Daphnia pulex: one gene and its partner. The main gene of each other region encodes a partner of the protein of the gene in region 2 in a complex. Links are inferred from orthologs where the notes say so. Each region holds a gene or a part of one and is shown on either strand. Other genes may lie near its edges.

Region 1 (6,675 bases), on a different chromosome or scaffold from region 2:
TTGATTTTCTTTTTGGGTCGTGTGGCCAAACGATAAATACAGAGTGGATATTAGTACCTCGTGTGTGCATGATGCTATATGCACATTTTTTCTCCGCATTTTCTAAGTTTAGCCGTGAATCATCGCCTTGTGTGTTGGATATAGGATCGCTACAACTTACGCGGGATGGTCGTCGGTCGGAACCGGGATAAAATGAAACTTTTTTTTTTTTTTAAATTTTGCACGCGGGCAAAGGAATGTGACCTCGACGGACGAGGGCACGGTGACAGCCGACATTTTATTTTATTTTCTTGTGTAGTACTTCTTCTTCTGTCGAAAATAGTCGCGCGGGACTTTTGAAGATGAGAAAACGGCATCAGAGCGCGAGCGTTCTTATATAGGCGCTTCAAAATGTTTTCCCTATTAGAAAATTGTTATCCATTTGCGATAGGAGAAGTGCCAGCGGGCGAATGTCCCTCGCGGGTCTTGTGACGTGATCGATCGAGACGAAATCTGTCACCCCGGGGACGGACAAATGTCATCGTCAAAGAGAGCGCGTGCGTTTGCGGGAGTTATATCGGTTGGAGTGAGGGGGGATATAGGGGAAACCGTTTACCCGTGATATTGCCCGGATTCTCTGCAGCTCCTAGCCGTTCTTCAAAAAAAAAATCTTCCGAAAAAATATCCTTTTCGACCAATGCCCAAATATAGGGCCGGCTAGACGCTGCTACTATACCGGCGGAAGGATTCCAGACGCACAAATTGTGGGTGTGACTTGAGAAAGTTGCGCCTGGAACGAGAAGCATTTCTCTCTCTCCCGCGATGACGAAACCCCCCCGTCCTGCTAGATGATCAGCTCCTTTGTGGAACCACTATGGAAATGAGATGGCACGCCAACAGCCAGCCAAGGGACGGGGTCACGCAAAAAGCCATTTCCCGGCCGTGCCAGCTGGAAAGTGCCACACACTCGGGACACCGCCGCAAAAGGGTCAGCCGCCATTTAGCTAATGAGCTGTCTGATATTCTTGGCCTTTGAATTTTTGGTGTGGCCTCCTTTGAAGAATTTGTTAGACCTCAATATGAGATAGAAGGTTGGATCCCATAGATCCTTTTCAATTCCTGCAGGGCTCCTCCTTTCGACTGCTCCCAAGTAGGTGTTGAGCATCAAAGATATCGCTCCTGAATCGCTTTTAAAACCATCTAAAACCCCCGCGCGCACAAAAAGATCATCAGGAATCTTCATTCTTCTTCTCGTTTGTATTTTTCCCAACCGAAAATAGACGCGGTCCATTCCAGGATCGATTACACATCTTTGAGCCACCAAGGACAAAAGAAAAGCAAAAACAAAATTGCGGTGTGGCTCATCGCTGACGCCGTGCGTGCGTATCAACGTTCAAATGTTGTCCGTTAAGACTCATCGAATAGTTCTCCCAGCAATCCCTGGGCTTCAAATGAATCACACGCTTGTAGCCCAGCTGAAACATATCAAGCCAGTATATATCGTGTGTACAAGTAAGTAAGTGTGTGTGTGTGTGTTTGTCTTGAAGTTGTCGGGACGATCGACACCCACCGCGCCCGCATCACCGACACAAATAGAGTCGTGAGTCAGTCGCTAGGTAAAAAGAGGCTCTAAGTTTAGCACGGCCGTGCTCCACATTTCGCTCCTGCCACGGACGCTAGTCGTCGACGGTCTCCGTTTATAAAAGAAAAGAAACTCAAAATCGGGTCCAATGGGCTGCTACTGTTGCCCGCCGGATGCCCCCACACCACACACTCTGCGAGCTAGAAGAAATGGGGTTCTTGTTATTTTCCAAATGGGCCAAAGTTTTTCTCTTCTTGCCACTCGGACCTATACATATAAGAGACCAATGTTTACATTTGAATGTTATGTTACGATATCCAAGAGTGTTGTGTGTGTGTATAGGTTTCGTGGAAAATGTTTGACTCTAGGAGAAAAGAGCTCCAAGTTTCTTCTTTTCTTTTTCTCCAGAGTTCCGAGGTGTACAGCTGGGCGACGAGCTTGTTTTAAAATTAAACTCGCCGGGTCCGTGTTATCTAAAAATACACCACCCCTTTTTAGTTGCATTTCATTTTATTGACTCGACTGGGAGAGGATGAAAAAAAAAATAAAAATTTAAAAAAACCAACCCAACCGACGATTTGCAGCACTAACACGATATTAGAGGCCTGTTTGTGTCATTGTCAAATCAATATGCGGGGGGGGCTTTGATACGTCGAAACTGCTGGATCTGCCGAGTGGTGGGGTTGGCTGTCGGGATCCTCGTGTGGGCTGTCCGGAGAGATCATCTCTCCCGTCTAACGCACAACTGGAAGCTTTTCTCAAGGACGTACGAGTCTTGGCAATCGGCCTGAGTGCTGGGCCCGTGACTCTTTTTCTTGACATGCATTATTCAAGAGTGTTGTTGTTGTTGTTGTGGTATATTGTCTATACGTGGGGCCAAACATATAAATCATCACGCGTTCGGACTCTCTCATCAAGGCTCTCCGGTTACAACCGTCGATCGAGAATTGATTATGTCTATGTATGATCGGAATCCTTTCTCCATGCATCAAGTATACAGGCACGATAAGACTGAAATTTCATAAGTCTCGGGGAAAATGATTAATTGTTATTTGTGTTAATAGTCGTCGCTGTTTGATTCTTCGTCGTCGTCGGAGCTCGAATGGGTTGATCGCGGTGCTGGTGGGGCCTTGGTGACGTCAACTTTGCCGCTGTTGAGCAGCGATGGATCGTAACCTTCTGCTCGCATTTTCTGCTCGACGGCCATTAACGGAACCCCAAAGGCAAGCATTTTGACGAACCGAAGGATTTCGGGATTCGGAGGCGCCACCGCCGTCTGGTGGACGCTAGAAACATCTTCAGGAAAGACTGGTGGAACGGCGGATGGAAGGATCTGAACGCTTGCAGCCACTGGTACAGATTCTGAGCTGGTGGCAGGCACTGTAGGTGGGATGGCCGGTATTGAAGTAGTTTCCAGTGCAGGAACTGAAGCCAACTGTTTTCAAAAGAAAAAAGAATCAGCCATTCATTGTCTATAAATGATAAACATACCCCAAAGTGATACACTTGAGTGAGTTGGCTCGACATGTATTGTTAAATAACTGAGTAGGTATGGTCTTGCTTAATCTAAATTTGTTTCTCATGAAAATTTAATTTCATACCAATTTTCCCTATTTATGCATCTTTAAAGAAGAGCTGGTGGAATTGAAATGTTTAAATGAAGGAATTTACCTTTGCTTCGAGAATGGCTAATGTGGCTTCAACATCTTGTAGTCGAAAGTTGAGATCCAGCAATTTGGTATCACATATAATTGCAAATTTGTTTAGTAACTGAACTGAATTGGAAACAAACTGGTTGAAATAGCTCAAAATTCTTTTAGTTTCGATGGGCGGAACCTGTCAAACATTAAAATGTGTTACTGCCATCATCCAATTTAAACGAAAATGAAAAATACAAACGAACCGAAGAGAACTCGACAGTAGGACCGAAAAAAGGTAGTCCTTTATTTTCCATCCCTTAGTATTTCTTCCTTGATTAGAACGACGTGGAATATACGAATTATTAAATCACATCCATGGGATAAATGTCGCGTTTGATTGTTTTGTTTTTCTTCTAGCAGACGACACAGAATCCATCCCCTTCAGGCGCAGCGGTCGAATTATTTGAGGAACAAGGCAACTCTGTTGTTCACTTGCAATCCGGAGGAGAGAATTCTGTCTCATTTCCACTTCGTTCGCCTGTTCGTCCGAAAATGGTATAGTCTCGTCGATTTAATATCTCGCAACATCCTTTGATATTTAACCATCTTATATGTTTATATAGCATCTCTTTTTGCAGTAGAATTCGATGATGTTTATTAGCATTCTGTGTCAATTGGTAGACTTTTCGTTTGACTGGTATAAAATCTGTTTTGTCACTCTGTCTGTCATATGGATACCTTGACTAGACATGTTATTTTGACTGTTAATACTAGCATTACTTAAAAGTTTAAGGTGTAAATTTCTCTTTGTAGTTGTAAGTATGTGGTTGTTAAGTATGTTGTGCATTTAAACTGTCATAATTTGTTGTCGAAAACACCGGCTCATGACTTGTTGATCTCGTTTTAGGTGAACGTACCAAAGAGTCGTCGCACCTACTGCAAAAAATGCAAGACCCACAAGGTCCACAAAGTGACGCAGTACAAGAAATCCAAGGAGCGTAGTGCTGCCCAGGGTCGTCGTCGTTACGACAGAAAACAAAAGGGTTATGGTGGTCAAACCAAACCTATTTTCAGGAAGAAGGTATGAAGACTTAAAGATTGGTTCACTTGAATTGTGTACTAATGCTTCTCATTGTTGAATTACGCAGGCCAAGACCACTAAAAAGATTGTCCTGAGGATGGAGTGCTCAGAATGCAAAGTCCGCAAGCAGATCCCCCTCAAGCGTTGCAAGCACTTTGAACTTGGAGGTGACAAGAAGAGGAAGGGACAGATGATTCAGTTCTAGACTGTTTGTCATCACCTTGTGCTGGCCAATACAACATCTTTGGCGCCTATAGTCTGTTATTAGTCTTCATTACTTTCCTTAATCCCTATGATAATGTAGGGAAATGGCTCCATGCGAGACATTTGGGTATTTATTGATTTCAAATATTTGCTAGGTGAAAAATCAACCAATTGATTCCAAGTATTCATGTGAGAAATCTGCTAGCTTTAGTTAAATCTAGCTTTGCTCTTAGTAGTTAAGAGTTGCCTTAGTTTTTATCCTAATTAGCTCTTGAAAAGTAGTGTGAAGCCCATCACGCCATCTGTGAGTGATGATTCCAACTCGACACCACAATCGGACGGTTAGACTGAACGCTTCGATCGTCTAAAAAGCGATAAGGAAAACTCTTCGTCATTGGTTGACGCGTTCGCGGTGTACATGTCGAAGAGAAAACGAAGATTGTAGATGGCGAGAGAACAAGAATAGAAAAAGAGTGAAGCATTCAATGGCGTCTGTTAAAATGCGTGTGAACGAGTTTCCGGTCATTCTTAGTGTACGAGAATACTTGAAAAATGTCGTTGAAGAGTAAATAATTTCGAAAAAAAAGAAATGACAAGTGTGTTATAAACAAGTCGGTTACGAATTATAAGAGTTTTTCCATTTATCTGTTTGATGCAAACAATCTAGTTGTAGACCACGCTTTGAGCGTCTGTAGGGGATAAAGAGAAGATAAGGCTATTATCTTTTAGTTGGAAGAACGTCAACTACCCGGTATTTTCGGGAGATGAGGGAGAGACGTGAGATGAGCGTTTCTTTGTTTTCTGGTTCGCGCGGATTCTCAATCCGCCGCCTAGACAACTACTACCCATGATATATAAACCAGTAAAAATATGGCCGGTAGAGGGGTTAAAAAATCACGCTGGTGGTGCAACCGACGTCTAGTGACGTGCTAGTTACTAATCTGCTTCGGCGAGTTTCTCATTTATCTTTCGGCTAACCGATTCGAAAACAAGAGTTTTATTTTTAATTCGAAAAATTTCAGTGGGAAAGTTTCCGAGTTGAAAATCCCAAGTACGAGAGTGAGACCACGCTACACAGAACCGGCTTTTTCTCGCTATGCTTGAGGGGATATTCGACTTGGTTCTTTTTTGACCACCCCACGCTTCACTCATTGAGTATACCGGTATAGTATAGTAGTGTATATATGCATACATGCGAGAGATATATATATATATTTTAATACTGGTGGTAATACCTTGGAAGACCTAGGAATGGAGAGAAGGAAGGGGAAAAATGGACTCTCCAAGCAGAGCCATCTGGGTAGCAGCGTGGCTAGCCCAGCGCATATAATATATCGACACGGCTATATGTTCTCTTTGGAGAGCCGAGTTTTTTAAGGTACCTTTTTCCAACCCCACCCTACCACCCCCTCTACCCCCCTCTCTCCCCATAATGAAAAGAGTGGAATGGGCGGAGTTTATCCAGCTGGAGCGCTGGTATACAACAGGGGTCTTGTGATTCGATCTAGACGCCACGAAATGCAAAAGGGACGCGCTTTGCCACCGAAAACCCGAGGCTAAGGACAACCCCCCCGCTAGAGGCCGATACAAGGCGATGCAAGTCACCAAAGACTTGGGGCCCCACCAGTGTGCTCTACACCGTCCCGTCTATAACACCTCGAAAGCAGAGACTCTTGCGAACGCGCCAAACTTCCTTTTTTAAGGCACTCTCCATCTTCTCTTAGTCTTTTTTAAAATAATTTTTCGAACCGGTCGAGCAAAATCCACTCGATTTCGTCTCACTTAAATATTCACGCTCAACCAACCAACAACAACACACCTCCAAACAAAATGAGTTCCAAGGAAGCAACGAAGGAAGTTGAAGCCGACGAAGTCATCGCCGCCGACGCCAAGAAAGATGCAGTCAAAGGCACAAAACGGCCAGCAGAAGTAAGTTCCATCTTTTTGTTATTTACTACATTGTCTTCATGTCGGCTCTGAATAAGTCTGTAACGAGGAAATTTGTTGGAAAAGAGGGGTTTCGTTATGGCTAAATTAAGGATCAACTCGAGAACCCACGCGCCGCGTGCTTGCCGCCATTTGTGTGTGTGTGTGTGTGTATGTGTGTAGTGTGTTGAGTGCGTGTGTCTGGGGCCGGCTTGAGCCCCACGCTCTATCCCGTCGCCATGACTGTTGTTGGAATATTTACT
Region 2 (7,802 bases):
GGCGGCCATAGCTCCAACAGGGACTTTCGCTCCGTTCCGTCCATCTTCCAGCCCGAGCCCAGCGTCGTCGTTCAATTCCAGCCGACACCACACGCAACAAAGAGCCATGGGTGCGTCTCTCAAGGCCAGCAGCTACTACACCGCAGCAGTGTCGTCCTTGGTGGCCTTATGGCTGATCCTGATCGTTATCGCCCCAACAGGTTTTGCAACATTTCACTTAAACGTTGTCCTCCCTCCTCCCACCTAAAGATAAAATGGTGGTGTCTCGATTCCGGTTTATTCCGGGCTGTGCGTGTGTTAGTTTCTTTCAGCATCTGACCATTTTCGTTTTGCGTTTTCTTCTTCTTGCCCAATAGCCGAGGGGAGCATCAGTTGCTACACGTGCTCATCTCGCAATGGCACCGACATGAGCTGCGAAGATCCTTTCCATCCGGCCATGTCCGATTACAAAATCGGTTGCATGGTGCCCAAAGAAGGTCACGTGGGCAAATTTCCGGCCAATTTCTGCGTTAAAGTTGTCGGCACAGTCTGTAAGTTTTCCTCAGAATTCTAATAATAAATCGCCGATGAGTCTCTTGACGACCTTGTCTTCTAGTTGATTAACATTTTTCTCTTCGTGCGATGTGATTGACTTGACGACATTGACTTTTCTCTCGACTGGCCAATAATAATATTTGGTTTTTCGGTTGTTGTACACTTTCAACGAACCGTTAGATGGCACCAGGGAGAAGCTAGTCATCCGAACCTGTACCCTGGAAAACGTAAATATATAAATAATAATAATAATATTATAAAAAACAAACAAACAATTTGAATTTTTTAAAATTACAGATGGAGAACCAGTGCGGAGAATTCAAATACGAACACGAAAGTCTGGCCGGATGCATTCTGACTTGCCAGAGCGACGGATGCAATGCGGCAACCAAAAACCTGATGCTGCCCAGTTTCGCCACCGCTTCCTCATTCTTCCTCATCTACAGCGCAATAACTCTACTAGTCAACGCGTCACCATCAGCATCAGTCTGATGATGAACCGGAAAAACAATTTCCTAAATGAAAAATTCAACGTACAATTTTTAAATAATTCAAGTCGAAAATTTGTTTTCTTCCGTCGTCATTTCTTTGTGGGGTTTTTCTCGATCCGAAAAAATAATCCTTTTTCCATTGTATTTAATATTAATTGTAAACAAAATGAAAGTAAATGAAAAAGTGTTTCACCGCTTTCGATTGGTTAATTCTAATAAACTTGTTCGATCCACGACGGTGTTATTTGAGAATGTGAAAGAGACTAGATGGAAGATGCTGGAATAACGGGCCGTTCGTGGCGGAAAAAGATCCTGGCGCTGTTCAAGTTGTAGAATAACAAATCAAATTCCTGTCAAACGAATAAAAATCATAAAATTATGTGACAAGGATTTGATTTCCAGCTTTTACCTGTCGATAAGTTTCTAATCGGTGGAGGGTCAGACTCAGCGTGTCCTGACTGGCCTGCGATTGGAGTCCGGCCATTTTCCTTTCGCGCTCGAAAAATTCCCTGACGGATGAGAACCACTGCAGGGCGTCGAAATCCTTCCACTGGTCCAGAACGGAGAGGCAGTAAGCCAATCCCATGGCCAGTCCGTCGTCGGTGAAGGTGCACGTTTCCTGCTTGTTCTTCTTCATCAGCTTCTCCTTGCAGGTGACGATGTGTTCGACGTAGTTGACCGTCAGCGGCGGAACGATGACGTAAAAATGGCGCAAGTGAGAGTGGCGAGGATCGCGGAAAAACGGCCGGAAGACGTCCACCAGCAGTTTGAAATAGTCGGAACTCTCGGATAGATTCTGAGCCAGATCGTCCAGCACCTTGTCCAGGGCTTTGCTGGACAGTTCGGATAGGCTAGAGAGAGCCGGATTAGATTTAGCTAAGGATTCGAATAATCCATCGGCCATGTCCATCGTATCGTTGTGGTTTTTAAGGCTACTGGCACTGCTGCCCAGTTGATGATCCAGTCCAGTTTCATTGAGATAAACCAATTCCGCCAAATCCGGAACCGGAGCTGGCAAAAAAAAAAATAATTCATTTTGTGTTGAACATCTTTTTAATCCGGCCGGAATGATGAATAATACCACAGGATTCGGCACTGCAATGGATGGATCCACTTCTCAACATCCTGACGTAGCCCAAAGCGTTTCCGAGATGGGTAATGAGTATGCGGAATTGGTCCAGATAACTCAATCCGATGGAATTGAGTCCCAATTTGCGGATGCCCCGATGGAACTTCTCGGCGCGCTCGTACGGATATCGGAGTGCCGAATCTTTGCCTTGGCTCAGCTCGCGCAAATAACGAGCATCTTTCATCAGCCGCGACTTGATGTGCTCGTCGTACAGGAACCTTTTTTGGGCGGGAAAAATTCAAACGGTTCAACATTTAAAAAATAAAATAAAAGTCTGAAAATTTCATTTACTGAGAAAAGACGAAAAACTTTTTGCGGAGAAACTGGTAGGTGAAATTGACGGCCGTGTTGACGACGCCGGACCCGTGGGTCCTGATGGAATTGGCCGCGTGTTTGATGCCGATCGTGCTCAAGTGTTTGCTGGTGCTCGACTGCTCGACAAAGAACTGGTTGTTGAGATTGTAGCCGAAACGGGCCACAAACAGGTGAATGTTGCGCATGATTTCCAGGACGTCGAGCCCTTGCTCCAGGGTCTGGCTGGGCAGCCGGTCGGGCAGCGGCTTCAGGTTGAAAGCCAATCCGGCCAAGAGTCTCATCTGGCCGTACTTGCGCCAATCGTGAGAGGCCAAAGCGGCCAGATTGTAGAACGTCTGGCCGAGATAGTGTTCCACCCGGTGGGGAACGCTCAGCTGCTCGTGCCGGCCCAGGGGCAAGTCGCCCAGGGCGCTCAAACAAGGCGACTCTTTGAACGGGTTGCGGGGCGTCGGGTGGAGATGGGCGTGCGACTGGATCCGTAATTCCGTCTCGACCGAGGCGCACAGGGGCTCCAAAATATGGACGTCCAGGGCTCGGCGGATGAATTTCTGATGGCCTTCCACCAGCTGTCGAGGATTGGCCAGATGCTTGACGCTGGCCAGAGCCGATTCACAGTCCATGACGGCCATCAGAGTCTGTCCAATCCGGGACGATTCGAAGCGTCTTTCACGGGCTTCCGGCAGGTAAGTGTTGAGGAGAGATTTGTGCCAGTAAAAGACTTCGCAATCGGCCAGGTAACTCAAGCGGTGGCGTATGCCAACGGAAAGCAGCTCCATCTTCTGGAGGCGATGGGCCAGCAAGGACAATTCTTCGTCCTGGAAGGCGGTGCAGGCTATGGCCAGCGAAATCCTGGCCGTCGAAACACGGGATGATGTGCAGGGACCTTTCAGGACTCGCTGGGCCAACGCCAGAGCCGCGCTGACCGTCTTCCGGGGACGTTTCTTGCTGCTCTTCTCGCCGGCTAATCGCTTGGCGGCCAACTGGACTACGTCGGAGACGGAACGACGGAGCTGCTGTTGCAGGTGCATCCAGGCTTGAGGGTAATCCGTCAGCTGTTTCTCGATGGCCTTTTGCAAGGTCTTGATGAGCTCAAACGTCTGAAAGGCGGCCATGACTGTGCCTTTGGAAATGACTGGCTGGATGGCCAAGTGGAGGTTCAATATCAGACGGACGACGCCGCTCAGTTTGGCCACGTAGCGAAGTCCCTGCAGGACCAAACAGCACTGATTGGTCAATTCTTCTTGACTGTTGACGTGCTGGCCGCTCAGCCTCGACAGCCAGAGGACGATTTTCGTGTTCCACATTTGAAGGTCTTTGGCCAGCTGCTGGGAACGCTGGCGGACGTACTGGAACCGGGCAGAGCCGACACTTTCCAGCATTTTGCTATCGACGGCCCGGTCTCCACGGGGTAGATAGAGCGACAAGAATTGGTCAGGGAACCACAGACACGACCCGACCAGAGGGACGGCCATGATGGAATTTTTGGCGACATCCAGGATGGTCTTGAGCTGGCGGTTGTCCACTTTCAGGCCAATGTGAGCGTGCAGGACAAACAGGCAGACGATGCTGAGGAACTTTTGCATGTTCTCGTAATTGTCCCGCTCGCCTTCCTTGTCCAGACGGAACGATAATTCTTCGAGGAAGCCCTTGACGTTGGCTGAAATCTCGTCCAGCAAGACTTTGTTGTTGCTGGTGGGGAAACTCTGGTTCATGCATCGGAGGAAGAGCGTGCCCGAAAGAGTTTTCTCGGTGATTTCGTCGAGCGACAAGTCCAGCAGCCGCAAATCTTCCGGCGTCGTGTCGAAATTGGAGGCGTTGTGTTGAATGGATCGAACTACATGCTGCAGCTGAGCAACATGTTCCCTCAGCAAGTTGTTTCGGTTAATGATGGAATCCAAATTCACAAGGATTGACTGAAAAGCAAAGAGTGTGTGTTAGTTTCGGGATATTTTTGAGAGAAAAGTTGAGAATTAAAATACCAGCACACATCCCATTCTTTCGAAAATGATTTTGAAATGGGTTTCGCCAATCTCAAAGTATTTTGGTCCAGCGTCTGAGCTGCAGTACAATCTTGAAAGCTGGCCCACCATGTTTTTGATCACTTTGTAGCAATAGTTGACGTAGCTCAACAACTTTTGCAATGTTTCGACCATTCTACCGGCACATGCATGGCCCTCTCCAGACTGCAGAGCTTTCTCGTCCACACCCTCACCGTAATAGAGGAGAGGGTAATAGAAGGACCTCCCCTCTTCAACCAGAAAGTCCATCTCGCTGACTAAATGCCCCAAAGCCAGGACGACTTTTCTCAGCTCTTCGTGATCAGAGTGGACAAGGTCGACTAGGGAGATGTCTTCGCTGGGAACTAAATCCAGACTGACTGTCTGACTGACATTTTCCTTGCTCAAATTTTCGTGAATTTGACACACAGCTTCCAGATCCGAGCCACACTTGACCATGAACTCGCTATATTCTCTTGCAACATATTCTTTGGCCACCTCTACATTAAAAAAAGGGCAAAAGATTAGTGAAACTGATTACCACAACTAAAAAAGAAACCAACTCACTTTCTGCGGCATATCTCCCATACTCGTGGTTGGAAACTGTCGAGTTCCCATTCATCCCTACCATTTTCAAAATCAAAGCAACACGATATTTCAATAAAAATCAATTAAATCATTTAAAAAACGCCCGTGACTATAATAACACGTAAACAAGCTCTGGAAACACAAAAAAATAATCTGAATCTTCAAATTCTCGGAATACCAAAGTCGTCTGCTAGATCACAAAGTTGCCAGATGGGATTAAATCGAAACAGTTCCAATTTTTCCAAATTGGTTAATTTACATCTTTCGATGATGTAACATTAGTGTAACAAGGGTATTGAGATAACAAAGAATAACTGTGACGTAACAACTATAAATGGTCAATCGAAAAACATTTTGATGTGTTTCTGGCGAAATGGTTTCCCACGGTCTAAAACATCGTGAGAAAATAGATTACGGGGAACCTGGGCCCAGCAATCGATTGGGGGTGGTGGATTAATCTCTCCCCCTCACCCCAATCCAATATGATGAAAACTAATGACGCCGGGTTGATCTTGTTTTATACAACCCCAGTGGGAATTACGAGAGGAGTTAGACGGTGGGGTGAATTATTCGCACCACCCCGAAATGTCTGGGTGGGTGCCACATTCTTTCCTGGACAACCGTACTACTGGGCAAATGGTGAGAAAAAAGTGAACGCGCAAGGTCACCCACACCGGACAGGTCCAGCAGCAGTAGCATAGATATACAGCGGCTCGATTTAAACAACCCACCTGAGATATGCCAAGGGTCTCGACGGATCGGACATAGCGGATGAGGTGCGAAATCGAAGAATTTTCTCACGATTCCGCCCCAGTACCCAAAAATTATTAATTGTAACTTGTGAATCTATATATCCTGGGCGCCCGTCTTTATTTTATTTCGCTCCACCCACACACAGACATCACCCAACCCTCTTGGTCCACCTAAGTATATGTAGCCGGACTGGGTGGCCCAAAGTATTTATTCCCGTTCTGGCCATCGGCCGAGTATCACCACCAGCTACTTGCAGCACCACCACCAGTTCTTTTCAACTTTTCAAAACTTTCACAGTCAATTTATCCCCCAAACAGAAAATCGTAACACTTGTACGGCTTTGTTTATATTTTGTTAGTTTAGTGGCCGGCCAGTTCTATGTGTGTGTGTTATGGTGGCTCACTGATTGATTGATTTCTTCCCGAGTGATTGAGAGGATTCAGTGTGTGTGTGTCTATACTGTTAACGGATTTCTTGTATCTAATCAACTCATCGCCCAATCAAAGAGAATGCGCTGTCACTGGATCAGCAGTGTCTTATTCCTGGCCGTCATCACCATTCCACAATTCGCTTCGTCCACTTGGTGGTAAGTTGAGAGATATCGTTTGTGAGTGAGTGCTGGGCTTAAGTATATAGATTTCCCCCTACCTGGACGGTGAAGCGGATGGGAAAGGGGTTAACCGATTTAGGGAAGTTGCACTAGTGCTGGATGGCCGGCAACGTTTATAACGAAATTTTCTAGGATAGTGAGAAACGGTGACAGCCATTTTGCTAGGGTTGCTTCTCTATGCTATATAATCCTGAGGGTTGAAGGGTGTCTCAATTTCACGTTCGCTCGATTGCGTCTATGCGATAAGAGCGTGAGTGCGTGTAAATAAGGCTTCCGTAATTACTTATAAAGATACCACCGCTCAGCTCAGCTCTCGTAATAAGGTAGAGACCAAATCCCCTGGACTATGTGTATAGGTATCATCATAGCATATCGGTCAAACTTTTGGGCACGGATATTATAAACCAATTAGCATATTTTAACCAAGAAAATAAAATAAAAAAACCCTTTTTCTGATTTTATTTTTCTTACCATTTTTTGGCCCAGGTTTTTGAGCAAATTTCAACTGGGCACGGCGGCTAATCCGCGGATGTATTGCGATCACATTCCGGGCATGGAGCGGAAGCAGAGACGACTCTGCCAGAAGCATCCGGATCACATGGTCCAGGTTGGCGAGGGAGCCGCCACCGGAATCAAAGAGTGCCAATTCCAATTCCGCCAGCACCGATGGAATTGCTCCACCATCGACAGGGACGCCACCGTCTTTGGCAAATCCCTGGTCAAATGTAAGACTCTAATTTATCTTGTATGTACATAAATTTAAAATAAAACTAAACTTGAATCATTTTTTGGGGTTTAAACAGCCGGAAGTCGAGAAGCGGCTTTTGTGTACGCCATCAGCTCGGCCGGCGTGGTCCATTCGATCTCTCGGGCCTGCAACCGCGGCGACCTATTGAACTGCGCCTGCGACAAGACAAGACTGGGCAAGCACCACGACCAGCAAGGCGAATTCGCTTGGGGCGGATGCTCCACCAACGTCCGCTACGGAAGCAATTTCGCCCGTCAGTTCATCGATGCCCGCGAGCGCAAGATGAGAGACTCAAGGGCCTTGATGAACCTCCACAACAACCGAGTCGGTCGAAAGGTAATTTAATTTTCACTGGCAATTTCAATCGAAATTAACAAATTATTCAACTAAAAAATGAAATAATTAATAGTTAAATGAATTAATATAAATGAATTAAATGAAATGAATTGATTTGAATTGATAGGCTCTTCACAAATTGATGAGGCATCAATGCAAATGCCACGGAGTGTCGGGCGCCTGCAACGTCCGCACTTGCTGGACGACACTTCCGGAATTCCGCGAAGTCGGCGCTTACCTGAAGGAGAAATACGACGCCTCGCTGGAGGTCAGTTCCGACCCGTCGGGCACGACCCTCATC

The links.
Region 1: WASH complex subunit 4-like (region 2) and WASH complex subunit 3-like share a complex: the UniProt entries of both Homo sapiens proteins name them as parts of the WASH core complex. The link is inferred for Daphnia pulex from reciprocal best matches to the Homo sapiens genes WASHC4 and WASHC3.

What each region holds. Positions count from the first base shown.
Region 1 is NC_060025.1:878,073-884,747, reverse strand, and holds WASH complex subunit 3-like, read right to left. Parts: upstream 3,626-6,675; 5' UTR 3,516-3,625; coding exon 3,465-3,515; exon of another isoform or gene 3,398-3,464; coding exon 3,233-3,397; exon of another isoform or gene 3,192-3,232; intron 3,111-3,191; exon of another isoform or gene 2,997-3,110; coding exon 2,619-2,996; 3' UTR 2,504-2,618; downstream 1-2,503. Other genes in the region: 60S ribosomal protein L44, read left to right, coding at 3,754-3,756, 4,109-4,282, 4,350-4,487; bacchus-like, read left to right, coding at 6,317-6,415. UniProt on the Homo sapiens protein: Acts as a component of the WASH core complex that functions as a nucleation-promoting factor (NPF) at the surface of endosomes, where it recruits and activates the Arp2/3 complex to induce actin polymerization, playing a key role in the fission of tubules that serve as transport intermediates during endosome sorting.
Region 2 is NC_060026.1:1,371,871-1,379,672, forward strand, and holds WASH complex subunit 4-like, read right to left. Parts: upstream 5,273-7,802; 5' UTR 5,098-5,272; coding exon 5,034-5,097; intron 4,967-5,033; coding exon 4,449-4,966; intron 4,383-4,448; coding exon 2,446-4,382; intron 2,373-2,445; coding exon 2,107-2,372; intron 2,037-2,106; coding exon 1,435-2,036; intron 1,376-1,434; coding exon 1,289-1,375; 3' UTR 1,154-1,288; downstream 1-1,153. Other genes in the region: uncharacterized protein LOC124204736, read left to right, coding at 107-200, 357-530, 715-761, 832-1,026; protein Wnt-2b-A-like, read left to right, coding at 6,317-6,393, 6,904-7,142, 7,221-7,501, 7,629-7,802. UniProt on the Homo sapiens protein: Acts as a component of the WASH core complex that functions as a nucleation-promoting factor (NPF) at the surface of endosomes, where it recruits and activates the Arp2/3 complex to induce actin polymerization, playing a key role in the fission of tubules that serve as transport intermediates during endosome sorting.